Macaca fascicularis: one gene and its partners. The protein of the gene in region 5 interacts with the protein of the main gene of each other region in a pairwise test. Links are inferred from orthologs where the notes say so. Each region holds a gene or a part of one and is shown on either strand. Other genes may lie near its edges. The genes, in order: BYSL, LATS1, RAB29, NRIP1, LDOC1, FOSL1 and TNNT1.

Region 1 (3,500 bases), on a different chromosome or scaffold from region 5:
AGGAAAGCCTGCCCGTCCCAAGCCCAGCCTACACCTATAGACCCAAGGCCTGCAAATCCCCATCTACTCTACCTGGTGGCTTGGTACATGGCGGCTGCAGTCCAGGCCTCAGGCTCTGTGACGTAGAGGATTTGTTCCCAGTTGGAGAGTGCAGGGATGATCTTAAATGCCTTAGGCAGTTTTCCACTGCGGTACTTAGATAATACCTAGGGATGAGGGAGGTAAAACAATCATTGTCATCCACATATGGCAAGCTTGCTGTGGGCTAGGAACTTGTCTGGGTGCTTTTAATATATTAACTCATTTCATCCCCACAATAACCCTTTAAGGAGGTGCCATTATTATGCTCGTTTTACAGATGACCAGTGAGAGTTCCAGTAACTGACCCAAGGTTGCCAAGTCATTTACAGGCAGAGCAGGAATCTGAAACCACACACTCTGCCTCTTAGGTCTGTTTTCTACTGCCATGACTTCTTTAGTATGAGATGCAGGCAAAAGGCAAAAGCCTGTGGCGGGAGCCCACAGCCCCCAAAGGGGTCTTCCACTGTGGCTCCCCTCTCAGCTCTTACCTCCCGGACCCCCCTGTAGACTTCTAGGACCCGGGGGTCCAGCTGGGGCATAGGGAAGCCCGACACCTCTGACATGACTGTCTCAACCTCTGTCTGCTTCTCAGTCAGCTTCTCCATGATGATGTCAGCCAAGGTGCGCCTAAGAGGGGAAGTGCCAAGGGGAGGGGAGAGAGGAAGGAAGGAGCACTGTGGTCACTGTCCAGGAAGCTCCAGATTCCCCACAGTCCCTTGTGAGCACTGACATACTGCGATCCTGCTGGGATGCGCAGCTCAGAGTTCCCTCTCTGTGCCCATTCATCCACCACAGACAGAATCACTGCAGGGTGCAAAGGAACTGAAAGTCATTCCATTTAGGACAAAGCTGGCAGTTGTATGGAGGTTATTATGAATCTCAATTCTGAAATCGGTCTGCGCAGGTTCAAATCCTGGCTTACCCACTCCCTGTATGATCTTGGGCATGTTACTTTACCTCTCTATGCCTCTGTTTCCTCATTTGTAAAATAGGGATAATAACGGTACCTACCTTAAAAGATTAATGGAAGGATTAAATAAGTTAATGTCTGTTCATTACTTGCAACGGTCAGTACACAGCAGTGTATCTATGGAAGTATTTCTAAAACTGATTATGTTCTTTTCAGCCTCCTTAAACACAGTATTGTTGGGTATATCAAACATTATCTTAATGATTCAGCATTACTATCACCTTGAGCTGTCATATAATACCAGTGCCTTCAGAGGCTGCTGAAGTGTATTTATTTATTTATTTTTGAGACAGAGTCTAGCTCTGTTGCCCAGGTTGGCATGCAGTGGTACCATCACGGCTCACTGCAGCCTCTATCTCTCTGGCTCAAGCGATCTTCCTGCCTCAGTCTCTCAAGTAGCTGGGACCACAGGCACATAGCACAAGGCCCAGCTAGTATTTTATTCTTTTTTTTTTTTTTTTTTGAGACGGAGTCTCGCTGTGTCGCCCAGGCTGGAGTGCAGTGGCCGGATCTCAGCTCACTGCAAGCTCTGCCTCCCGGGTTTTTATGCCATTCTCCTGCCTCAGCCTCCAGAGTAGCCGGGACTACAGGCGCCCGCCACCTCGCCCGGCTAGTTTTTTTTTTTTGTATTTTTTAGTAGAGACGGGGTTTCACCGGGTTAGCCAGGATGGTCTCGAACTCCTGACCTCGTGATCCGCCCGTCTCGGCCTCCCAAAGTGCTGGGATTACAGGCTTGAGCCACCGCGCCCGGCCGTATTTTATTCTTTTGTAGAGATGGGGTCTCCCCATGTTGCCCAGGCTGGTCTCACACTCCTGGGCTCCTGCCTTGGGATCCCAAAGTGCTGAGATTACAGGTCTGGGCCACCATGCCCAGACTGACATGTATTTAAAGCTCCTCAGTTGGGTGCAGTGGCTCGTGTTTGTAATCTCTGTACTTTGTGAGGCTGAGGGAGGTGAATCACGTGAGGTCAGGAGTTTGAGACCAGCCTGGCCAACATGGTGAAACCCCGTCTCTACTAATAAAACAAAAAGTAGCCAGGCGTGGTGGTGTGCGCCTGTAATCCCAGCTACTCGAGAGGTTGAGGTTGCAGTGAGCTGAGATCACACCACTGCCCTCCAGTGTGGGTTACAGAGTGAGACCCTGTCACAAAACAAAACAAAAAACAAACTGCTCCTCTTTTCTGAGGTCCTACTCAACGCCAGGCACTGAGTCTGGGACTTTTCAGTCCCAGAGTCAGTGCAACACTTATAGGACATGGAAACTTACGCAGACATGGCAACTGGGCCTCACAGCCGTCAGGTGGGGTTAAGAGTCAAACTCAGGTTTTTGAAAGTCTTAAGTTAAGATGCTTTATAGTACCTTATAATGTGCCCCCAAACTAAATGGCCTCTGTTGAATTCATGTGGATCTAGGCTTGCTTTCTGAAGACGCCAGCTATCATTTCTTACAACTGCCAGAAGTTCTGATTACTTCAAGGAGCTTGTCTATTCTATTTACTGCAAGCTGGAAAAGCATTCTGCTAAATTTGTCAGCGTTATCAGTGAAGTAGGAGTTATGAGGTGCTGAATGAGAACCTGAGAGGCTCTCTGGTGGGACAGGCCCGAGTACGTATTTTGTGACACATATTTCAACTGTTAGGCATCAATCTGGGAGAGGAGCTCATTTTTATTTCTTCATTCTGCATTTTCAAATAAGTTGCCACAGAATTTATCAGCCTCCTTGTGCTTTTACAGTACAATTAGCAATGAGAGATGCATTAACCCCAAACAATCTAAAGTATCAGGGACACCATTATGTTAGTATCACAGGGTCAGAATGAACTGGTTGAGGACCCTTATCCTAGACTCCACTCCCCACGGCCAAAATTTATGGGCTCAGGAGTTTGACCACAGGCAGTCTAAATGCCTGCATGTTTTGGAGCCAGCATTTATTATAGATGGGAATAAATTAGTGGTCCTAACTGGGAGCAGTTTTGCCTCCCAGAGGACATTTAGCAACGTCTGATGTCATTTTTGGTTTTCATAATTAGAGGGAAGGTTGCTACTGGAGCCTAGAAGGTAGAGATCAGAGATATCTACTAAACATCCTACACTGCACAGGATAGCCTCCACACACATATAAAATTACCCAGCCCAAAATGTCAATAATGCTGAGGTTGAAAAACCCTGGCTTAAATGAAGCTTAGGATATGAACACTTGTCCAAGGAAGTTGAGCTTACCACTAAAAAAACCAAGAATACCAAAACCAGATGCAATAGGATGGCTCTCCCCAGAGGTGTAAAACGGGCCTGGAGCTGTTTCCCTGGCAACTGGGCAGTTGTACAATAAATGGACAGAAGGATACAATGTTTTCTGAGGCTGGGTCATTCCCACTCACAGTGGTCTGCTGAGGATGGGCCAGTTTTGTCAAGGTGGTCCCCTACAACTAGCAACTCCAGGGCCCTTTCC
Region 2 (3,500 bases), on a different chromosome or scaffold from region 5:
AGTCACATTTGTCACATCACCCTGTGTTGATTCTCTGTGTAGGGTATGTCACTGTTCCTTATATGTGTAATTGTTTGTTTTGTTTCTTTTCCTACTAGAATGTAACCAGAGCTTTGTCTTATCACTGTCATTTATTGAATGAAACACTGATCTAATTTGTTTGAAAGTTTGTCCAGAGTAGTACCAGGGAGTGGGCTAAATAACAAACTCTTAATCTCCCCATGACTCATATTGTTGTTATTTAACATTGAATAAATTGCTAAATCTTAGACTTTTTTTTTTTTTTAAGTGTAAAATCATTCCTATTGACATCTCAGAAAGCAGGCTGTAATTGGTAATAAACACCATCCGTGATTTGGCATACATTGTGTCTTAGTTTGTCACAAGGGAGAATGTTGTTAACCCTAAACCATGATGTCAGAAGATTAAATAGACTTCAGGTTTACTGTTGTCCTTGTTGATTTTATTTATTTATTCTTTTGTTGTGCAGGTGACCATCCACGGCAAGATAGCATGGATTTCAGTAATGAATGGGGGGATCCCTCAAGCTGTCGATGTGGAGACAGATTGAAGCCATTAGAGCGGAGAGCTGCACGCCAGCACCAGCGATGTTTAGCACATTCTTTGGTTGGGACTCCCAATTATATTGCACCTGAAGTATTGCTACGAACAGGTAAAGCACTTCTTTCATATAAAATCTCAGTAGGCCTTTAGGCCAGCCAAAACAACACTAGAATATGCCTTATTTTTCAGGCTTATAATAAAAGTATTAATTTTACAGTATAAATTGGTGATTTAATGTTAATTTTTATTGTATTCTGAGCATTTTTAAAGTGCTTCTAAATAACTAACTTTGGTATCTTATTTTAGGATACACACAGTTGTGTGATTGGTGGAGTGTTGGTGTTATTCTTTTTGAAATGTTGGTGGGACAACCTCCTTTCTTGGCACAAACACCATTAGAAACACAAATGAAGGTAAGGTATGGCATCTATATCAAAAGAATTCTCACAAAGTTGCTACGTCATTGACCTTTATTTATTAGTACTTAGAGCATTTTAGTCTGGAGTTAAAGAATGAGCTTGGGCTGGGTGCAGTGGCTCATACCCATAATGCCAGTGCTTTGGGAGGTTGAGGCAGGAGGATTGCTTGCACCTAGGAGTTCAAGATCAGCCTGACAATGATGTGAGACCCCATCTCTACAAAAAAAAAAAAGTTTAATTTAAAAAAGGAAAAGAATGGCCGGGCGCGGTGGCTCACGCCTGTAATCCCAGCACTTTGGGAGGCCGAGGCGGGCGGATCACAAGGTCAGGAGATCGAGACCACGGTGAAACCCCGTCTCTACTAAAAATACAAAAAATTAGCCGGGCGCGGTTGTGGGCGCCTGTAGTCCCAGCTACTCGGGAGGCTGAGGCAGGAGAATGGCGTGAACCCGGGAGGCGGAGCTTGCAGTGAGCCGAGATCGCGCCACTGCACTCCAGCCTGGGCGACAGAGCGAGACTCCGTCTCAAAAAAAAAAAAAAAAAAAAGGAAAAGAATGAACTTGTAAGGGTATATGAACTCACTAAAATTGCATGTGTGAACTCCAGTCTCCATGATGCCATATCCCCATAATTTTGTATCCCCCCTCACTCATACACCATACTCATATATCATTCTCAAAAAGGTCTTTAGGCCAGGCACGGTGACTCATGCCTGTAATCCTACCACTTTGGGAGGTGTAGGCGGGTGGATCACCTGAGGTCAGGAGTTTGGGATCAGCCTGGCCAACATGGCAAAACCCTGTCTCTACTAAAAATACAAAAATTAGCTGGGTGTGGTGGCGGACACCTGTAATCCCAGCTACTTGGGAGGCTGAGGCAGGAGAATCCTTTGAATTCCGAAGGCAGAGGTTGCAGTGAGCCAAGATCTCACCATTGCACTCCACCCTGGGCGAAAGAGCGAAACTCCTTCTCAAACAAAACAAAACAAAACAAGCCTTTAGTCCATTTTGAAGATTTGTTCACTGCTTGTCACCTACTGCCTCCTGGCTTTGTCTCCTTCTATGCAAACTACAAACAAATGTTTATATCCCCATTTGAAAATACCTCTGGCACTTAAATGAGAAGCTACCCACAATTTTGACCATACACTGTCTGATTTAATACCCTTTGGTGATTCCTTTGTCCATGGGTTAAAGTTGGAATTTGCCCTCCGTTCATACCATTCCCTCTGTCTGGAATGTCCTACTTCCATCTCTCTCTTCTATAACCCTTCCTCCTTTCTGAAGTCTAATTAACTCCTGGTCGTTCTCTCTCTCTCTCTCTCTCTCTTTTTTTTTTTTTATACAGAGTCTTGCTCTATCATCAGGCTAGAGTGCAGTGGCGTGATCTCAGCTCACTGCAACTTCTGCCTCCTGGGTTCAAGTGAGTCTCGTGCCTCAGCTTCCCGAGTAGCTGGGATTACAGGCACGCGCCATCACACCCAGCTAGTTTTTGTATTTTTAGTAGAGACGGGGTTTCACCATGTTGGCCAGGATGGTCTCAATCTCCTGAACTCATGATCCACCCACCTCGGCCTCCCAATGAGCCACTGCACTCCGCCTCCTGATCATTCTTAATTATTCTTTGAGGGCCAGACATGATGGCTCATGTCTGTAATCCCAGCACTTTATTTTGAGATAGGATCAAAACATTTCACCAAGGGTGGAATGCAGTGGCATGATGTTGTCTCATGCAACCTCTGTCCTGGCTCAAGCAACCTATCTTAGCCTCCTGGTAGATGGGACCACAGGTTCTTTTTTTAAAATTTTTTGTATATTTTTTTTTTTTTGTAGATACAGGGTTTTGCCATGTTGCCCAGGCTGGTCTCAAACTCCTGGGCTCAAGTAATCCACCCACCTCAGCCTCCCAAAGTGCTGGAATGGGTGCAGTGGCTCACACCTGTAATCCCAGCACTTTGCAAGGTCGCAGCAGACAGATCACCAACAAATGGTATTGAGAAAACTGGTCAGCCATATACAAAAAAAATGAACATCAGGTCAGGTGCAGTGGCTCACGCCTATAATCCTAGCACTTTGGGAGGCCGAGGCGGATGGATAACCTGAGGTTAGGGGTTTGAGACCAGCCTAGTCAACGTGGTGAAACCCCGTCTCTACTAAAACTACAAAAATTAGCCAAGTGTGGTTGGTGCATGCCTGTAATCCTGGGTCCTTGGGAGCCTGAGGCAGGAGAATCACTTGAACCCAGGAGGCAGAGCTTGCATTGAGCCAAGATCGTGCCACTGCACTCCAGCCTGGGACGACAGAGCAAGACTCTGTCTCAAAAAAAAAAAAAAAAAACTGAGCCTCACACCTTTACAAAGATTAACTCAAATTGAGTCACATATATAGATAAAACTTAAAGGTATAATACTTTTAGAAGAAAACATAGGAGAAAATCTTTGTGGGCTTGGGTTAGGTAAAGAGTTCGTAGAAATGACCCCAGAATCATGACCCATAAAAGAAAAAAGTTCATCAAAAC
Region 3 (4,243 bases), on a different chromosome or scaffold from region 5:
CAGAATCTGAAGTCTACATGGAGGGAAGAAATAATGAGACCAGTGACAGAAATAGGGAAGCTGAGAAAAGGAGCTATTTTTGTGGCAATGTAGTAAGAGGAAGGATGTGGCAGGACATCCAAGTGGAGGCACCTTTTGGGCAGCTGAGTATCACTGATCAGAGATAAAGAACAATAAAGTGAAGACAGATCTTTGACACCAAGGACAATTCATTGAAGAGTTTATAGAATCATTGACTCAAAGACCAAGAATAGAGCTTCAGGAAATACTTAGAGGGAAATGGGATGGCGAGAAACCTGAAAGAAAAGGATAATCATCGGAGAAGTAGGGGGATGACAAAGAAAGAGCAGTGTCATAGAAGGCATAAGGGAAACAAATGTCAAGGAGTGGTCAAATATGTCAAAACGAATAGGAACAGAGAAAATTGGATCCTTAAAGATGAGTAGCCTGGCCTAACCTCCTGTACCTGAGTAACAAACATTCTGGGCAAAATATATTGTGAACCACGCTGATGTTCTTTCCCCACAAAACATAAGTGATAGCCTCTCTATCAAGAGACCTAGGTAAGATTTCATAGTGTCTGGTCCTGGGCTGTTTTCCCATGGCCCTGCTGGTTCTCTTCTTCTGTTTCTAGAAAAAGTCTAGAAAATGGAGCTCTCTTTGCTTGCCATTGAGCTCATGTCCTGCCAACTCCTACCTAAGTGACAGGCAGGTCAGTAAAGTTTCAGGCTGAAAAATTAAAATTATTTGCCAAACACTAGTTTTATGATTATCTATTAACAACAGCCACAATGAATCGAGAAGGATTCCCAGTGTATTTCAATTAGCCTCTACCTCAAGTGATACATGAGTAGTATGGTTAGAATAGGCATTGCAGAAGTATGAATGGGGAACTGTCTCTTGTTTTCTGTCTATCTTTATTGTTATTGCTGGATATTAAATGCTGTAACTTTTGGCATATGTTTTTCCAAAGAATGGTCTCTTGGGTCAAGTTTTCCTGAACTTGCCTGGTATTGGGCAAGTTCATACAGAAAATATGAGTCATTTCACAAAGTCCTGGGCTTGTCTATCTATTTGAAGGAATAGGAAATGGACTTCACTTGGAGCATTATGGATGAGGCTTGGACTTTTACTAACGAAATAAGTTTTAATCTTAACTCCGTTAAACCTTTAAAGACAGGAGAAGACTATCTGGGGATGGATTCAGGCCAGTGAGATCACGTTGCACAAATCTCCTCTTAAGTGACCTTAACTGACCCAGAATTGTTTCAGAATAAGATTCCGAACTGTTGAAGGAGTTTTGAAGCCTTGAAACTTTGTGTAGGTTGGCTTAAAACGAAAAAAAGAATACACTACATTTCCCAGGAGGCTTCGCGGGTGAGCCTCCGCACTCGGCTGGTTCTCTTTACCGCGAGGAAAGCTGGGGAATGTAGTGCTCCAGGCAACCCTGCACGTGACGCTGGCGGAGGAAGGCTAGAGAGAGGCGCGGGACGACGTCTAGGGAATAGAAAGGTACCGGCTGCTCCTTCCTGACAATTTGGTATGTGCTGCAAGGGGAGGGTCCTCATCATCTGGCCCCAGTGGTGTAATGAGCTGACTGGGATTCAGTCACTGACTCGGAGCCGCTCCGGGAAAGTCCTGGTGGGGAGGTTCCGAGGCGCCTGGTCCCGTTTCTCGGCAGTCAGGCCAGGAGGGGGTGGGGAAGGTGCGAACAGCCGGGGGCTCGGAGCTTGCGCCCTGCGCCCCACCCAGGTTGCGGCCGCCGGGGGAGGAAGCACGTATAGTTTGAGTGCAAAGTTTCCTTTTTTGCTTTCTCGTCAGAGCAGCCCACACAGGCGGTGGGTGGGAATGCCTCACTTCAGTTTGAAGAGGGTCCGGAGCCAAAGGGGTTAAAACAAGCGACTCCCCCACTTCCCGCCTCCCTAAAACGCACGCCCCGCTAGCCATGGGCAGCCGCGACCACCTGTTCAAAGTTCTGGTGGTGGGGGACGCCGCAGTGGGCAAGACGTCGCTGGTGCAGCGATATTCCCAGGACAGCTTCAGCAAACACTACAAGTCCACGGTGGGAGGTGAGACGTCTTTCGGGGGAGGGGGAGGAGGAGGCCTCGACCGCGGACTCGAGCTGGGGACCCAAGTGGGATCCGGATTTGCTGTCGGTTGTTGGGTCCTTCTTCGGGTCAGGAAGTACTGTCTGGGAACCTAAATGGTGTAATTGCCGGGTGTTTCGTTTACAAGCCTCTCTTGAGTTTCCCCAGTTAGATTTTTCCCAACCTGACCCCACTGCCAGGAGAAAGGTAAGAACAAAGGCTTGAAGATGAGAAATAGGGAAGGGAGGATGAGGATAAGCAATTGCTGTTTATTGCAGGCGCACTGTGAACTCAAGTCTCCAGCCTTTCAGCTGTCTGGCATCTCTCCAATCAGCAGAAGCAGCTGAGATCCTCTGGGGGCCTCCTGGTTAGGTGCCGGCTGGGGCTGTAGTTCTGCACCTCTGTTGAGGAAGGAACCGCAAGGTGTTTAACCTGGCTTCAGTGGGAGAACGCAGGAAGCGGAACTGGTCTGAAGGACTCTAGCTTTGTTGTGGGGCTGTGGGTGGGATGGAAGACACAAAATCCCCAAACGAGCCCCTTGGCTACGCAGTCAGATGCCCATGAGGGCTGATGAGCTGTGTTTTTGTCCGTTGATTGCTTAAATAAAAGTAACCAAGGAATTCTTCGAAGAATGTGAAATATACCACTTCTCTGACCTATCTTCCCACCACTTTTTCCTCAAACTGAAGAAGGTAGGGAGGAAGAGAACACTGAGTTCATTCCTTTCTTTCCCGGGTATGGCCTTTTTACTCAACTATTTTTTCAGAGGTAGAAATGCCTTATTGTTAATTAGAAGGTATTTAGGAAGAGCTGGTGATGGGGGAGAGTAACTTAAAATTTTCTCTCTTAAAAGAACTTGTTTTAAGGGGAGAAAAACGTACCAATGGAAAAAGTGAAAATGTGTGCTCCTGTTCATATGGAAGTTTAAAAAGAAATTAAGCATTCACATTGCAATTAAAACATTCTCCTTAAGAACCCCCAGTAGGGCCCAGTGCAGTGGTTCATACTTGCAATCCCAGCACTTTAGGAGGCTGAGGCAGGAGGATTGCTTGAGCCCAGGAGTTCGAGAGCAGCCATTGGAAACATGGCAAGACCCCACCTCTACAAAAATTAAAGAAAAAAGTAGCCGTGGTTCCAGCTACTCCGGAAACTCAGACTAGAGGATTGCTTGAACTCAGGAGGTCGAAGCTTCAGTAAGCCGCGTTCGCACCACTCACTGCACTGTAGCCTGGGCAACAGAGTGAGACCCTGTCTCAAAAACAAAGGAACAAAACATTAAAGTCTGGCAAAATTAAAGGTTCAAAGTTTCAGACACACTATCCTGACCTCTCTGCCCTTCCACTCCTAAATAATATAAGGGTCCCTATTTCACGGATTTGGGTTAAAATTGGCCTTCTATTAATAGTTAATTTTTAACAATTGCTGTAGTTTTCCTTTAACAAAGAATATAATTGACTCTGGCTAATTTTTTTTTTCAGTGTTTAGTCTAAATTTCCCTTAGTTTTGATTCCTGTTACAGATGTGAAAGATAATATTTCCAAACCTCAGAAATTACTGTGTTTCTCTCCTTAGCCAAAAGCTTTTCCCCATGGAATACTTAGCCTTAAGGAGTCTCAGCATCTGCAGACTTTGTGGTAGATTCCAGCAGGACTCTTCAGCAACATCCACACAGTGTCTTCTTGGGACTCCTCTGGGACCTTTTCCGTTTATTCCATTCTTGCCCAAGATAATACCTGCAACCTTATGGTGGATGTAGAGTTCCCCAGGGTGTGTTGTTTTCATAATACAATTTGATTAGAAACCAGCAGTGAAATTGAATGTGGAAGATACAGAAACAACCACACTTGTCTCATTTCCCCCTTCTCCCCCATCACCCCTTCCCTGAGAAAACCCCCTAAATCTCCCAGAAACTGTTTAACCTGAGAATGAGAGTTGTTTTCATAGTTACTCCCACCCCCAGTCTTGGAGACAAGTAGTAGCAAACAGATGAGCTTGACAGGAGAGTAAAAGCTGGAAACCCCTTTGGAGAGTGAGTATGAACCATCCATCTCACACTTAATACACATGTGTGGACTCATCTCAGTGAATTGAGGGCTTAAAGATAAACATGGGATTCGAGTTGTGTGTCCATCGGGTTGTCACTGCCTATTTGATTT
Region 4 (4,010 bases), on a different chromosome or scaffold from region 5:
GAAGAATATAGAATAGGAACTGGATATATTTCCTGAATCCACTACAACCTACTACAACAATTACTTTTAATAAAATTGACACTGAATTGTCAAGAAAATGCTAAATGATGTTCAATAAACCGCTTAAGAGAAACATTTGCAATACATTGTAGAAAAATCTTTGTATTATGGTTAAAAATAATTTTCGTAAAAAAAGTTTGACCCCCACTAAGGGGCCAAGCTCCAATTACGCTGGTCATCATTGAAACGGTTTGCTTTGTATCAATTCTGAATAAATGATGCACTAAAAAACAGCAGCCTTTACTAATTTGCCTACAGCAGATTTTGAATTGTGGTATATGCAAATAATATGGTATTATATGAGGTTTAACTTTTTAAAATGGCAACAGATTGCATAGTTCAATCAGTAGGGTGATGTAAAATAATTGTTTTTAAAAGTGCCATTGTCACTAAGGAAAACATCGGTACCATGTGCCCGGCACTGTGCTAGGTGCTGAATTTATTAAGCATTAATTTGAAAAATTGCTTTCACTTTCAAGACTGTGACAGTATTCTAAAACTCTCATTCATATTTTTAAAGGTTAAGTGAAATTTGCAGTACACAATACAGCCATTACATAACAGGCATAGAATACAGTTTCATGACTTGGATAGTTGTTGTTTTTTAAGCGCATTAGCAACTCCATTTTCAAATGCTATCAAATTCTTCAGGATATAAAAACCTACATGTAAGAATGGAGTGCCTCATCGGCTCATTTGTCTTATGTAATAAGTGTTTTAACACAGTCATGCCATTTCAGAATTTCGGGTGAGACTAAGCTATACTTTAGCTTTTTTGTGTCAAGCAAAAACAATTTCAGCAACAACATTGGTTTCCCCTGGTAATTTTTTTCATGGCGAATTACTAAATGCTGGATGCTCAAGTCAAAAAGAAACCTGACATCTGGGGAGGTGTTGAGGGGGTGTTAATAGTTCTAGGGAGATGTTTGGGGAGCGCTGAGGATACGATTTTTAAAACAGCAAATACACGGATAAGGGGAAATTATGGTTTCGTATGACTCTCTCCTCCCTCCACTTTCTCGTTTCAGCAGTCTGTAGCCCCCCCAATTTAGAGGCGGGTTCAGCGAGATTAGGCTGCAGGAAACCAAGAGGCTCCACCGCGCTGCCGCCCCGGCCTCGTGATGTAATTGTTATTTCTTATTCGGAGACTGAACCGAGGAGAGCTGCTGAAGAAGTAGCAGCTCTGCTCCTTTTGCCTTGTCTGGTTCCCGGGGATGATGTAGATTGGCTGACAGACTCCGCTGGAGACTTCGCAGTGACAAAGCAGCCGAGGATTAACCCTGCTCCTGGGTCCTACGTCTGTCCAGGGAGCTGAGCGGGGCGCTCCTCAGGTCTCCTTCCTAGTTTTCCTCCCGGAGTCGCTCCACATGAGGGCTGGGTGCCTACTACGTGCTGGGCGTGGGGTCAAAGTGACCCAGAGTTCGCGCCCGCGCCCCCCACGATTAAAGCAGGACACACAGATTACAAGGAGATAGAAATTGGGTGGGGGGTGAAAGGGGGCCCAGGGAGCGCGTGTTGTGGGGTGAAGGGGAGGAGGTAGACTTTTAAGGCGCCAGCACCCAGGCGGGGACCCTGGGGCGTCTGGGGTGCCCCGGTCCCCAGGCTCTGCCCAAACGGGAGCATTCGGCCTGGGTCCCGAGAGCGCTTCCCCGGGTTCCCAGGAGGAGCTGTCCAGGCGCCTGCAGCGGTCGCGGGCGGCTGGACAGAGCTGGGAGCCCGGAGGACGGCCAGGGCGCGCCGAGCAGCCCCTCTCTTGGGGACGCGGTCCTTTCGCTGCCTCCGGGCCCTGCAGCCCCGTCTGAGCCACCCGGAAAGCAGGCGAGGAGGAAATCCACGAACCATAGGGGGCTCCGCAGCTACCGCGAGCGGCCCGGACCCGCACGGCTTCCTCCTGACCGGCTGACAATGGGAGGGAGGGGGAGAAAAGGGTTAAGAAACTTGGCTGAAGAGCTGAATGGCGTGGGGCGGCGAGGGGAGGGACTGGGCCGCGGCGGACTCGGCGGCGGAGGGAGGAGCGCGGCTGCGGGCGGGCGGGCGGCGAGCGAGGCGCTCAAAGTCAGCCTCGCAGACATTGCAGCAGAGCCCCGAACTCGGGAGGCGGCGGCGGAGGAGGCGGCGGCGAGGCGCAGGGACGATCCGGCCCCACGCCCGCCCGCCACCCGCGCGCGCCCGTCCGCCCGTGGCCTCGCGTCCGCCGCTGCGCCGGGAGCGCCGCTGGTCGGAGGGAAGAGCTCGCCGGGGTGCCGGGCCAGGACGGGGCGGCAGGCGCCTTCGCGGACCGAGCCTGACGGAGCCGGAGGCTGGGAGCCGCGGCGGCCTGGGGTGAGTGACGGCCGCGGCCAGGGCGCCCAGAGTAGCGGCCGCCGGCGCCGCCGGAAACGGCCCCGGAGCGCGGCCCGCGTCGGCGCTGGCTTGGCGGGCAGGGCCGCGGGGGCGTCGGGGCGGCGGGGGCAGCGCGGCCGGCCGCGGGCGCGCACGGGGCGGCGTGGAGGGCGCGTTTCCGGGGAAATCCTGCCTCTGCTGCCTGGTTCGAGTCTCCCCGGGTTCTCGCGGGGGGCCGGGGCGGCGGGCCGGCAAGTTGTGGAGTGGCCCCGGGTCGGCCCGCCCGTCCGTGCCAGTTCTGGGCAAGGGGGCGGCCGTCGCGTGGCCCCTGCGCGGGGTCGGACACTGGAGCTCGGGGGCCGGGTCGGGGTTGCCCCTCGCTCGCCTGCCCTCTTGGTCGCGAACCTCGGGCACCGCTCGCTGCGCCGCTCTCGATCCTGCTGTCCAGCCGGATCCTGGGCGGCGCCTTTCGCCTGGGTGCCTGCCTGCTCCGTGCTTGCTGGATACCCGGCTGGGAAAGTGAATAGGAAAACGGACAGCTCGCCCGGCCCCCAACGGACCCCAGGCCCGCTCTGCCCGCACTCGCCGTCCCCCCCGGATGGCGTGGCTCACGGACCCGAGGCCTCAGCCATCATTTTACCAGGAGCCAGGGGCCGGCCCCCATTTAGGGTGAGCCCCGTGGAAGTCCGGGAGGCTGCCCTTTCTCCCTTCTGCTGTCCCCACCTTACTACTATTGCATATTGTTTTATGAAGGTTTTCGTGGACGTATTCTGCAGACCCTCACATCCCTTCCAAAGTAGTTTCCCAATTTTAATCAGGAGTTGGTGTTCAGTCTGAAGGAACAAAGGAACCAACTGTGTCTTAGAGGCGGACAGGCTGGGAGTCTGTGACACATGTTGATCTCTGAAGCATTCCAGGAGTTTCTACCTTTTATCACGTCAGTAATTGGCTGCTGAAGGTAGTAAAAGAAGTACGGAATGATAAGCACTTTTGCTTTTTAAAAATATTTTTTAATGGCACATTTTACTTTGGGGGAAAGAAGACGTTCTTAGGCACAAGGATTTTTAAAAACTCGGCCGGTGGAACTGAGGTGGAGTTTGTCTCTGGTATTGTAAATGATTACATGTGGGATTGTGAAGGAAATTGTGTCGTTAGAGGAAGAGAAGCCATCTGTAGGTGTCCGTAGTAAAAAATGGTTGTCGGATTATAGGTGATCAATGCTCTTTCTGTTTCTTGGGAAAATTTGTGAAGCAAGGGGCTTCGGTAATTCATTCTTTAAAGTTATGAATTGCATTGAATGCTTATTAGTGAATCATAGGTTTAGTAAGTGGGTGGCATTATTCAATGTTTAATCATCAGTTTTCCACCTTTGTGGAAGAGATAGTGAGATAATAGACTTTTTAAACAAATGGTGTTTCATCTGCTTAGCCCGTAAGTGTCGGTTGCCGCCTGGTGTATGTTGAAATGTTTTCACCTTCGAAGTAAGTGAATTGCTCTGCTTTTGCCCAGCAGTTTGGTAATGTCGATAGGGTTTATTTGGTTCAGGGGAGCGCTGGCTTCATCGCCTATAGTAACTTTTTTTCTGCCTGGGCATAGTTCCTAGAGACAAAGAAGGAGAATCAATTAGT
Region 5 (4,258 bases):
TAGGCCTTGGCTGCAACTTTGCTCTTTATTCTGAGGTGAAACTACTGGAGGATTTTGAGCAGGGGCGTGAAGGGATCTAACTGTTTTTGTTTGTTTGTTTGTTTGTTTTTGTTTTTTTTTTTTAGAGATGGAGTCTCGCTTGGTAACCAAGGCTGGAGGAGTGCGCTGGCGCTATCTCGGCTCACTGCCACCTCCGCCTCCCGGGTTCAAGCGATTCTCCTGCCTTAGCCTCCTGAGTAGCTGGAACTACAGGCACCTGCCACCACTCCCCGCTAATATTTTGTATTTTTAGTAGAGACAGGGTTTCACCCTGTTAGCCAGGATGATCTCGATCTCCTGACTCGTGATCCGCCCTCCTTGGCCACCCAAAGTGCTAGGATTACAGGCGTGAGCCACCGCGCCCGGCCCTAATTTTTGTTTTAAAGGATTCCTGTGGCTACTCTATGGAGAATATACTATAGGAAGAAAAGAGTGAAAGCTAAGTGATTAGTTGCAGCAGTCTGGGTGAGAAAGGCTGGGGATCAGGGTGGCAGTGGTAGAAATGACAAGTCATGACTGAATTGGCAATATATTTGAAAGCAGAGCCAACAATTCCTGTCGGCTCTAGGATCAGGGATCCGTTTAAAGTAGAAAAACAAAATTATTTAAAAACACAAACATCTTAACAGTTCATTTTTAAGTACAGAATAAAACCCAGTGGCCAAAGGCACTAACAGCAGGACAAGAAATAGAGAATCAAAGATATGTGGGATGCCTGCAATTGATTATTGGATGCTCATTTTGCAAAACTTCTTTATATCCTGCTACTTAGGTTTGTTTTTTTTTGTTTGTTTGTTTTAAGGGAGTATGCCGTATTATTCCCCTACTAAAGAAGTCACTGTTTAAATACTGCCTTTTTCATGAAAGGCAGGAACCCCTGAAGGTCTTCATGATCCTAAAAGGAAGTGTGAGTCCCACAGTGCAGCCAGCAGTGTCAATACTTCTCTGAGTGAGATTTAAACAAGAAAGAAAATGTGTTAATAAAACATCACGCCAAGAGAATCTAGTGGCCACAGACCCACGAAGGAACAACTGAGTTGTGAGAGTTGCCTAGGTAGAAGGGTGGCTAATCCTTTCAGTTTGAACAAATTTGCCTTCTCTGAGACCAAACTCAGCGCTCGCCAGGTCCTCTGCTAACGCAGGCCCCACAACCAGGAGCTAGGGGAGCCTACCCCAGCCTTTAACTGCCCGCCTAGAGACCTACCACAAGCCGGTGGTTCAGCGACCCAGTGCATCCTTTTCCTGGCCACGCCCTCTTTGTCTAAACCCTTCCCATCCCGGCCACGCCCCCACGCAGCCGCGGCCCCCAGTCTGGCCACGCCCCTCCCGCGCCGCGCCGGCGCACCATCCGTCCGAATGGCCTCGTGGGCGGAGCTTGCGTAGCCTCCCGGACCCCGGCGCGCACCGCCCCCCGCCCCCAGCCCCTGGCCATCGAGCGTCTCCGTGGACACGCACTTCCTGCGAGGCCTCCGTGCGCACCTTGGCCGAGCCGAACCGAGCCGAGCCCTGTCCTTCCAGGCTGTTCGCAATGGTGGATGAGCTGGTGCTGCTGCTGCACGCGCTCCTGATGCGGCACCGCGCCCTGACCATCGAGAACAGCCAGCTCATGGAACAGCTGCGGCTGCTGGTGTGCGAGAGGGCCAGCCTGCTGCGCCAGGTACGTCCGCCGAGCTGCCCGGTGCCCTTCCCCGAAACGTTTAATGGCGAGAGCTCCCGGCTCCCCGAGTTTATCGTGCAGACAGCGTCTTACATGCTCGTGAACGAGAACCGATTCTGCAACGACGCCATGAAGGTGGCATTCCTAATCAGTCTCCTCACCGGGGAAGCCGAGGAGTGGGTGGTGCCCTACATCGAGATGGATAGCCCCATCCTAGGTGATTACCGAGCCTTCCTCGATGAGATGAAACAGTGCTTTGGCTGGGATGACGACGAAGACGACGACGACGAGGACGAAGAGGATAATTACTAGGCCCTCGGGCCTCGGGGGGAGGGCCCTGCACGCCGTCACCCCCTCCCCGCAGCCCTCACCCCGCCAGGAGCCACTGCTCTCCCCCTTGCCCTCCGGTCCCCTTCCCTACCCGCGCCCGTCTGCTCTTTCTTCATTTCTCCGTAGTGCTTGTCTTTGTTCCAGGAATAGTGCTCCAGTTACCTGCTGCTGGGGTTGGGGCTGGAGCCTCACTCACTCGGAAGTGCTTGGAAGTGTCATCTACCCTGGCCATCCCGGGGATCCCTCCCCTGCTAATCTGAACTGTGTCCTGAACCCCAGCTATTGGCCAGGCCCCTGTTACAAACTGCGCAGACCACCCATAGCCCTGCTGCTGCCACCTGCCCTGCTGCCAGGCTTACATCTGCCCAGAGAACTATGCTGCCACTTCACATCCACTCACCACATCCCACCTACAGACTACCGCCTTTCGAGATCAGGACCAACCTGGAAAATGCCAGAGTTGGCTCTGCCTCTTCGGACATTGATTTGGACAGCTCACCAACCCCTGAAGAGGCCAATCATTCAGCCTGGTTAGTTTTCTACCTACTCCGAGTGTCCTCCCCTGCCATACCAGATTGCTGCAGGGGCGCGGTGTGCCTGACAGCCAAATTGTTGATATTTCTTTTTTCCTATGCACTGGTTTTACACAGCTGTCATTTTTCTTTCAAAATTGCAGCAGTCCCACAGATGTATGCATTTGGACAAATAGTACTAAAAACAAAACAAACAAGCACTCAGCCCAGCTCCTCAATACTACCTGGAAAAAGCATTGGCATTATTTTCAATAAATATCAAGCACTAAAAAACGAAATGACTGTCTTTTAATAGTTAAGTGCTATCACTGACCTCTAGAACTGTCACTGTGACTACCGTTATTCCCATGGAAATCAGGGAATACAACCAATCCTAGGAATCCCTGCTGTCAACTCCAGGCTGCTGGGGACAGCTACCTCAGGGCTTTGTCAGGGTTCTGATGCTTCCTTCACCAACGCATTTCTTAAAGCCCTGGCAAAGGGTGTGTTCTCTGGGTCCTCCAGGGTGGCATGGGTAAGGGTTGGCTGAGCAGATGGCAAAGAGGGCAGTATTAATAATTAGACCATAACAACAGGCATAAACCAGGACATATATATGTATTGCTCCTAATTCTCTGAGCTTTTGGATTCCTTAATATTGTGCCAGGGAAGTTCTGCCCCTTAATCCTTATTGCCTATATGCAGCTGTTGAGTTCAGGCTCCAGAGAGCCAACATAGTACATTGTCACTTTCAAACTCCAAATAGCCAACATGTCACTTACAGGTGCTCTAGCTAACATTAAGTCCCAGATCCTGGGCAAGTGCATCCATAAAGATATACCCTGATCTTAACAAACATTTCATCCTCCTTGGGCAGACATCCTTAGAATTTCCACTCATAGATGTGTCCCAGATTCCTCCCTATGGAAATTAGCAAGATGCTTGGTTATCTCTTAAATCAGACTTTGTACTGCTATCTGGGGGCTATGCTGAGATCTCTGGGCCTGGAGGGTTCAGAGCAGTGAAGGGGGTGGCTGCTGAGAAGAAACTGCATACCTGTGTGAGGCCATTGCCCCAGGTTAAGTCATTGAAATGTTTAATGCAGAGCAGCTTGGTTGGGGATTTGACAGGACTACCTCTTAGAAAGGTTTAGGAGGATGTGAGGGGTTCAGAGTTCTCATTTATATCTGTCCAGATGTCCTCCCTCATTGTACCATGTCTGGAGCCAACTTCACTTTATAACCTTTAATTAATTTAGATAACACATTTCCTTACTGTTTAAGGCCTTTTGAGGCAAGATATTTCATTTGTACTGGTAAACCTCAGTGTTGATTAAATGAGATATGGGGCTTCATATTAATCACCTGATAGGTGTGGATTATATGAGATCATACCCATGCAGCATTTAGAACTTTCCCTGCTACATGGTGAGCACTCAGTAAACCATGGGCTGTTACTCCTGGGCCTGGGGACAGAATTCTCAGGAAGCAAGTCTCTGGCTCTGAGCGTGGCTTTAGTAGGAAAATGTCAGCGTAAAGAGGAGCAGAGCAGGTTCAGCGATAATGGAAATGAGAGCATGATAAGACCCCATTTACTTTTTGAAGTCTTATATGAAGCAAGAAACAAAGCTGTTTACGTGGTGAACAGGCAAAGTTCAGGGTAGGAATTATATCTCACACCTAGGATAGCTGTTTCTGGAGGGTGGGGACAGGGGTGAGTA
Region 6 (3,500 bases), on a different chromosome or scaffold from region 5:
GGGAGGCTGAGGAGGGTGGATCACCTGAGGTTAGGAGTTCAAGACCAGCCTGGCCAACATGGCGAAACCTCATCTCTACTAAAAATACAAAAATTAGCCAGGTGTGGTGGTATATGCCTGTAATCCCAGCTACTTGGGAGGCTGAGGCATGAGAATCACTCGAATCCAGTAGATGGAGGTTGCAGTGAGTCGAGATCAGGCCAATGCATTCCAGCTTGGGAAAGAGTGAGACTCTGTCTAAAAAAAAAAAAAGGCCGGGCACGGTGGCTCATGCCTGTAATCCCAGCACTTTGGGAGGCCGAGGTGGGCAGATCATGAGGTCAGGTGATCGAGACCATCTTGGCTAACACGGTGAAACCCCATCTCTACTAAAAATACAAAAAATTAGTTGAGTGTGGTGGCAGGCACCTGTAGTCCCAGCTACTCAGGAGGCTGAGGCAGGAGAATGGCGTGAACCCGGGAGGCGGAGCTTGCAGTGAGCCAAGATCAGGCCACCGCCCTCCAGCCTGGGCGACAGAGCCAGACTCCGTTTCAAAAAAAAAAAAAAAAAGGCCGGGCGTGGTGGCTTACGACTGTAATCCCAGCACTTTGGGAGGCCGAGGTGAGCGGATCACGTAGTCAGGAGATAGAGACCATCCTGGCTAACATGGTGAAACCCCATCTCTACTAAATATACAAAAAATTAGCCAAGTGAGGTGGTGGGTACCTGTAGTCCCAGCTACTTGGGAGGCTGAGGCAGGAGAATGGTGTGAACCCGGGAGGCGGAGCTTGCAGTGAGCTGAGATCGCGCCACTGCACTCCAGCCTGGGGGACAGAGCGAGACTCCGTCTCAAAAAAAAAAAAAAAAAAAATCTTTGCATATTCTCAGTGAAAAAACAAGAATCTATATAAAGTACTTGGCTGGCACATAGTAGGTTTCCAACACATTGCAACTTAATCAGCAGCACTCATTATCCCCTCCTAGTGCTTACAGCTCTTGGAAGAGGAGACTTGGTTGTCCAGAGATCCAAAAGGATGAGGGTCCTGCAAAGAGGGCGCTGAGGGGGAAAGGTCACTTCTGGCTGGGGAATAAGAGGGCTTCCTGGAGGCAGGAACATCTTAGTTGAGTCCTGAGAGATAAGGAGGGTTAGGGTTTGTGGAAGGGGAGGGCATTATGGGAGAGGAATGTGCACTAAAGCTAGGTGCGAGGAGGAAATTTTACCAATCCAAGCAGACAGTGCCTCAGTGCAGAGAACTGGTTGGGTGCAGTGATCCCTAAATCACTAGCTGAGGGGGCCCTGCCATGACCTCTCTCAGGGTCCTACCACTGGGCCACCGTGAGGGGCGAGTTCCAGGCAACCAATGGCCCAGGGTCCTCCTCACTGCCAGTCTCACCCCCAGATCAGCCCTGAGGAAGAGGAGCGCCGACGAGTAAGGCGCGAGCGGAACAAGCTGGCTGCGGCCAAGTGCAGGAACCGGAGGAAGGAACTGACCGACTTCCTGCAGGCGGTGAGCACCAGCCCTGGTCCACCGAACTCTGAGGGACCCTGTCTCCCAGGAGCCCCCAAAGCCCCAGTATATGTAGCCCCTTCCCCACCATCCTAGCTCCTTGTCCGAGGGGCAGTCCTGGGCAAATGATGAGGAAAAATTGATTAAAAACTGGCTGCAGCATGTCTCACTGGAGGCAGAGCAGAGCTGAGGCTCAGCCAGCAATCTCCTTGTTTTTTTTTGAGACAGAGTCTTGCTCTGTCACCCAGGCTGGAGTGCAGTGGCGAGATCTCGGCTCATGGCTTACTGTGACATTTGTCTCCCAGGCTCAAGCAATTCTCATGCCTCAGCCTCCTGAGTACTGGGACTACAGGGACCTGCCACCCTACCCGGCTAATTTTTATATTTTTAGTAGAGACAGGGTTTCGCCATGTTGGCCAGGCTGGTCTCAAACTCCTGACCTCAAGTGATCCACCCGCCTCAGCCTCCCAAAGTGCTGGGATTACAGGCCTGAGTCACCGCCCGGTGCCAGCAATCTCCTAAAACGCCTGGGCCTGATGGGAGTCGTGCCCATTTTCTCCCAGGGGCTCATGGGAATTGCAGTCCAGACTTGCTGGAGACTCTCCACTGCCCCCCCTCTCTCCCCACCCAACCCCAGCTCCTCAGAACCCTGAGTCCAAACATCTGAGGCTCCAGGATATTCAGCCCTCACCTTCCTGACTCCTCTCCTGATCTTCTACAGGAGACTGACAAACTGGAAGATGAGAAATCTGGGCTGCAGCGAGAGATTGAGGAGCTGCAGAAGCAGAAGGAGCGCCTGGAGCTGGTGCTGGAAGCCCACCGACCCATCTGCAAAATCCCCGAAGGAGCCAAGGAGGGGGACACAGGCAGTACCAGTGGCACGAGCAGCCCGCCAGCCCCCTGCCGCCCTGTACCTTGTATCTCCCTTTCCCCAGGGCCTGTGCTTGAACCTGAGGCACTGCACACCCCCACGCTCATGACCACACCCTCCCTAACTCCTTTCACCCCCAGCCTAGTCTTCACCTACCCCAGCACTCCTGAGCCCTGTGCCTCAGCTCATCGCAAGAGTAGCAGCAGCAGCGGAGACCCATCCTCTGACCCCCTCGGCTCTCCAACCCTCCTTGCTTTGTGAGGCACCCGAGCCCTACACCCTGCAGGTGCCACCCTAACCAACGTCTCCTCCCCTTCCCCCACCGGTCCAGCTGGCCTGGACAGTATCCCACATCCAACTCCAGCAGCTTCTCCATCCCTCTAATGAGACTGACCATATTGTGCTTCACAGTAGAGCCAGCTTGGGGCCACCAAAGCTGCCCACTGTTTCTCTAGAGCTGGCCTCTCTAGCACAATTTGCACTAAATCAGATACAAAATATTCCCCATTTGTGCCAGAGAATTCCCGGGAGCCCAGAGACTTTGTAGATCCTTAGAGGTCCTCTGGAGCCCTAACCCCTTCCAGGTCACTGCCACACTATCCATCACCCTCTTCCTGTGATCCACCCAATCCTACCCCCTGACAGAAGGTGCCACTTTGCCCACCTAGAACACTAACTCACCAGCCCCACTGCCAGCAGCAGCAGGTGATTGGACCAGGCCATTCTGCCGCCCCCTCCTGAACCGCACAACTCAGGAGGTGCCCACGGCTTCTGTGATGAGCAGATCTGCCGATCTCAGCTTTGAGAAGCCTTCAGCTCCAGGGAATCCAAGCCTCCACAGCGAGGGCAGCTGCTATTTATTTTCCTAAAGAGAGTATTTTTATACAAACCTACCAAAATGGAATAAAAGGCTTGAAGCTGTGGCCTGAGCGCCTCACCGGACCCCAAAGCCAATGGGAGAGTATTTGAGTCGTAAGTCCCAGCCTTAGCTCTACAGACTCACTGCATGACCTTGGACAAATTATTTGATATTTTTGGACTTTGTCTTATCTGACAAGTGGGGCTACATCCGCTCGGCCTCATCTCCAGGAATGAGAGGAGAGAGTCCTCTGGGGTAAAAGCGAAGAGGCTTACCGTCCCT
Region 7 (3,500 bases), on a different chromosome or scaffold from region 5:
TGGGCGACAAGAGTGAAACTCCATCTAAAAAAAAAAAAAAAAAATGGAGGGAGGGAATGGACTGACAGGGATTCCAAGGCAAAGGGACAGGATTTGGGGATTGTTGGGGCAAGGGGAGGGAAGCAATGGGGGCAACCCCTAAGGGTCTCTTGGGCTGGGGAACAGAGTGGACAGTGGGGCTGCCATCTCCTTCTCAGAGAAGATGGTGAGCTCCATCAGGACGTCGTGTGTGGGAAGGTGGGAAAAGTTCAGGAGATACCTGCTAACTTGAGTCTGGGGCTTAGGAGAGAGTCTGGACCAGAGACACTTGGCGAGTCCTCAGCAGTTGACAATACCAGAAGTCATTGGAGTGAATGGCATTGATGATGAGAAAAGGGAAAAGGGAGGCTCCCTGGCAGCTCACGGGAGTGTGGGGGGCCAGGAGACAGGGATGGAACAGCCCCGGGGGTGGGAGGCAAGCCAGTATTTATTCCTGTAAAATATGGTGAGCTGTATTGTCTTCCCACACATGACGCCCCGAAGGAGCTCATCAACTTTTCCAAGATGGAGATGGTAGCCCCACTGTGCACTTGGCTGCCTGGCCCAGAGACCACTGGGGATTGTCCTCACCTCCTCCCTCCCCTTGCCCAGCGACCCCTAAGTCCTGTCCCCTTCATCCTGGAATCGCTCTTGGTTGTCTCAGAAACCCAGAAAAGAGAATTCCAAGGAAGTGGCAGGAAATCAGAGCAGGCTGAAGGCTGAACCTCAGAGCAGCACCACCCAATAGAATAGATGGCAAGACACACACATCACTTACAATTTCTTACTAAAGGCCGGGCACGGTGGCTCACGCCTGTAGTCCCAGCACATTGGGAGGCTGAGACAGGCAGATCGCCTGAGGTCGAGAGTTCAAGACCAGGCTGGCCAGCATGGTGAAACCCCATCTCTACTAAAAATACAAAAATTACCCAGGTGTGGTGGCAGGCGCCTGTAATCCCAACTTGCTAGGCATACCTTTTTTTTTTTTTTTTTTTTTTTTTTGAGACGGAGTCTCGCTCTGTCACCCAGGCTGGAGTGCAGTGGCCGGATCTCAGCTCACTGCAAGCTCCGCCTCCCGGGTTCACGCCATTCTCCTGCCTCAGCCTCCCGAGTAGCTGGGACTACAGGCGCCTGCCACCTCGCCGGGCTAAGTTTTTGTATTTTTTAGTAGAGACGGGGTTTCACTGTGTTAGCCAGGATGGTCTCGATCTCCTGATCTCGTGATCCGCCCGTCTCGGCCTCCCAAAGTGCTGGGATTACAGGCTTGAGCCACCGCGCCCGGCCTGCTAGGCATACTTTTAAAGTACAGCAACAACATAGGAAAATTTAATTTTCATAGCACAGTTCTAAAAATCTGTTACATAAATTTTTATCATTTCAACATGTAATCAGCATAAAACATGATTCTGTGCGTTTCACTGACAGCCTGCCTCAGTTGGGACCCTCCACGTTCAGGGGGCTGGCGGCTACCTCACCAGGCAGCGCATCCCGGAGGTGGGAGGTGGCTCAGGGAGGTCGGGCCACTCATGGTCTCTATGTTTCCGTCCACCCAGCCGCCCCGTGGTGCCTCCTTTGATCCCGCCAAAGATCCCCGAAGGGGAGCGTGTTGACTTCGATGTAAGTGTCAGAGACCCCTCCCCAGGCGCAGTTGCTAGTCTTCAAGGGGCTTTTGTTTCAATCATGAAAAGGCGCCGGGCTGGGCCGCGGTGGCTCACGCCTGTAATCCCAGCACTTTGGGAAATTGAGGTCAGGAGTTCGAGACCAGCCTGCTCAATATGGTGAAAGCCCGTCTCTACTACAAACACAAAAATTAGCCGGGCGTGGTGGCGGGCCGTCTGTAATCCCAGCTACTCGGGAGGCTGAGGCAGGAAAATCGATTGAACCCGGGAGGCGGAAGCTGCGGGGAGCTGAGATCGCGCCATTTCACTGCAGCCTGGGAGAAAAGGTCCCCACTCCCCACTCCCCACTCCCGTCTTTGGGCAGCTCTGTCTTTGCAAGAGCTGATTAGTGTCAAACACGAGGCATTGCTGCCACCTGCTGGACACCACCTGGGAAACGGTCCAGTTCACCGTCCTGCATGGGGGAGGCGCTGGGAGGCCGCTGCCCTCTCCAGGGTCTCCCAGGACTGACTCCCCGTGTGTCCTGCAGGACATCCACCGCAAGCGCATGGAGAAAGACCTGCTGGAGCTGCAGACGCTCATCGACGTGCATTTTGAGCAGCGGAAGAAGGAGGAAGAGGAGCTGATTGCCTTGAAAGAGCGCATTGTGAGCCGAGAGTCCGGGTGCCCCCCAGTCTTCCTCTCTCCACGTGGATCCCTTGCATCTTGGGAGATGCAGATAATGGTTTTCCTTCTAGTACAGAGCTGAGCCTGAGGCTTTCGGGAATTCATCCAAGTCGGTGGCCACACTCCAGCCTGTTTATCTCCACTCTTCGCCTACTCTGGGGAGGGATGACTGGGGGTACGTCCCTGCACCTCTTTATTCTTCTCCGTTCCCCAGGAGCGGCGCCGGTCGGAGAGAGCCGAGCAACAGCGCTTCAGAACTGAGAAGGAACGCGAACGTCAGGCTAAGCTGGCGGTGGGTGCCTGCCCTGCCCTGGGAGTCCAAATGTTACTTCTTCAGCCAGATGCCCATTTTGTTGTTGTTGTTATTATTATTACTATTATTATTATTATTTGGAACTGAGTCTAGCTCTGTCACCCCGGCTGGAGTGCAGTGGTGTGATCTCAGTTCACTTCAGCCTCTGCCTCCCAGGTTCAAGCAATTCTCCTGCCTCATCCTCCTGAGTAGCTGGGACTACAGGTGCTCCCCATCACGCCCGGCTAATTTTTGTATTTTTAGTAGAGACAGGGTTTCACCATGTTGGCCAGGATGGTCTCGATCTCCTGGCCTCGTGATCCACCTGCCTCAGCCTTCCAAAGTGCTGGGATTACAGGTGTGAGCCACCGCGCCCGGCCTATTATTATTATTATTATTGTTGTTGTTGTTGTTATTTTGAGACAGAGTTTCACTCTCGTCACCCAGGCTGGAGTGCAATGGCGCGATCTCGGCTCATTGCAACCTCCGCCTCCCAGGTTCAAGCAATTCTCTTGCCTCAGCCTCCTGAGTAGCTGGGATTACAGGCCTGCGCCCCCACACCTGGCTAATTTTGTTTTTTTAGTAGAGACGGGGTTTCTCCATGTTGGTCAGGCTGGTCTCGAACTCCCGACCTCAGGTGATCCGCCTGCCTCAGCCTCCCAAAGTGCTGGTATTACAGGCATGAGCCACCACACCCGACCTATTATTATTATCTATGTATTTATTTGGAGGCAGGGTCTTGCTCTGTCACCCAGGCTGACGTGCAGTGGCGTGATCCTAGCTCACTACAGCTAGGACCTCCCGGGCTCAAACGATTTTCCCACCTCAGCCTCCAGAATCGCTGGGACTACAGGCATGCGCCACTCTGCCCGGGTATTTTTTTTTTTTTAATTATTATTTCAATT

Evidence for each region.
Region 1: the proteins of LDOC1 (region 5) and BYSL interact in binary tests that used the Homo sapiens proteins (3 or more experiments, as listed by UniProt). The two-hybrid records come from large-scale screens. The link is inferred for Macaca fascicularis from reciprocal best matches to the Homo sapiens genes LDOC1 and BYSL.
Region 2: the proteins of LDOC1 (region 5) and LATS1 interact in a two-hybrid assay, tested with the Homo sapiens proteins (2 studies listed by BioGRID and IntAct). The two-hybrid records come from large-scale screens. The link is inferred for Macaca fascicularis from reciprocal best matches to the Homo sapiens genes LDOC1 and LATS1.
Region 3: the proteins of LDOC1 (region 5) and RAB29 interact in binary tests that used the Homo sapiens proteins (3 or more experiments, as listed by UniProt). The two-hybrid records come from large-scale screens. The link is inferred for Macaca fascicularis from reciprocal best matches to the Homo sapiens genes LDOC1 and RAB29.
Region 4: the proteins of LDOC1 (region 5) and NRIP1 interact in binary tests that used the Homo sapiens proteins (3 or more experiments, as listed by UniProt). The two-hybrid records come from large-scale screens. The link is inferred for Macaca fascicularis from reciprocal best matches to the Homo sapiens genes LDOC1 and NRIP1.
Region 6: the proteins of LDOC1 (region 5) and FOSL1 interact in binary tests that used the Homo sapiens proteins (3 or more experiments, as listed by UniProt). The two-hybrid records come from large-scale screens. The link is inferred for Macaca fascicularis from reciprocal best matches to the Homo sapiens genes LDOC1 and FOSL1.
Region 7: the proteins of LDOC1 (region 5) and TNNT1 interact in binary tests that used the Homo sapiens proteins (3 or more experiments, as listed by UniProt). The two-hybrid records come from large-scale screens. The link is inferred for Macaca fascicularis from reciprocal best matches to the Homo sapiens genes LDOC1 and TNNT1.

What each region holds. Positions count from the first base shown.
Region 1 is NC_088378.1:129,638,889-129,642,388, forward strand, and holds part of BYSL (bystin), read right to left. Parts: intron 709-3,500; coding exon 570-708; intron 207-569; coding exon 73-206; intron 1-72. UniProt on the Homo sapiens protein: Required for processing of 20S pre-rRNA precursor and biogenesis of 40S ribosomal subunits. May be required for trophinin-dependent regulation of cell adhesion during implantation of human embryos.
Region 2 is NC_088378.1:57,660,849-57,664,348, reverse strand, and holds part of LATS1 (serine/threonine-protein kinase LATS1), read left to right. Parts: intron 1-490; coding exon 491-673; intron 674-870; coding exon 871-977; intron 978-3,500. UniProt on the Homo sapiens protein: Negative regulator of YAP1 in the Hippo signaling pathway that plays a pivotal role in organ size control and tumor suppression by restricting proliferation and promoting apoptosis.
Region 3 is NC_088375.1:63,614,038-63,618,280, reverse strand, and holds the start of RAB29 (ras-related protein Rab-7L1), read left to right. Parts: upstream 1-1,443; 5' UTR 1,444-1,540; intron 1,541-1,821; exon of another isoform or gene 1,822-1,826; 5' UTR 1,827-1,945; coding exon 1,946-2,069; intron 2,070-2,365; exon of another isoform or gene 2,366-2,510; intron 2,511-4,243. UniProt on the Homo sapiens protein: The small GTPases Rab are key regulators in vesicle trafficking. Essential for maintaining the integrity of the endosome-trans-Golgi network structure.
Region 4 is NC_088377.1:32,171,500-32,175,509, forward strand, and holds the start of NRIP1 (nuclear receptor-interacting protein 1), read left to right. Parts: upstream 1-1,210; 5' UTR 1,211-1,391; intron 1,392-1,899; exon of another isoform or gene 1,900-1,967; intron 1,968-4,010. UniProt on the Homo sapiens protein: Modulates transcriptional activation by steroid receptors such as NR3C1, NR3C2 and ESR1. Also modulates transcriptional repression by nuclear hormone receptors.
Region 5 is NC_088395.1:147,494,918-147,499,175, forward strand, and holds the start of LDOC1 (protein LDOC1), read left to right. Parts: upstream 1-1,458; 5' UTR 1,459-1,567; coding exon 1,568-2,008; 3' UTR 2,009-4,258. UniProt on the Homo sapiens protein: May have an important role in the development and/or progression of some cancers.
Region 6 is NC_088388.1:8,507,024-8,510,523, forward strand, and holds the end of FOSL1 (fos-related antigen 1), read left to right. Parts: intron 1-1,380; coding exon 1,381-1,488; intron 1,489-2,209; coding exon 2,210-2,620; 3' UTR 2,621-3,313; downstream 3,314-3,500.
Region 7 is NC_088393.1:63,012,151-63,015,650, reverse strand, and holds part of TNNT1 (troponin T, slow skeletal muscle), read left to right. Parts: intron 1-1,571; coding exon 1,572-1,635; intron 1,636-2,166; coding exon 2,167-2,283; intron 2,284-2,517; coding exon 2,518-2,595; intron 2,596-3,500. UniProt on the Homo sapiens protein: Troponin T is the tropomyosin-binding subunit of troponin, the thin filament regulatory complex which confers calcium-sensitivity to striated muscle actomyosin ATPase activity.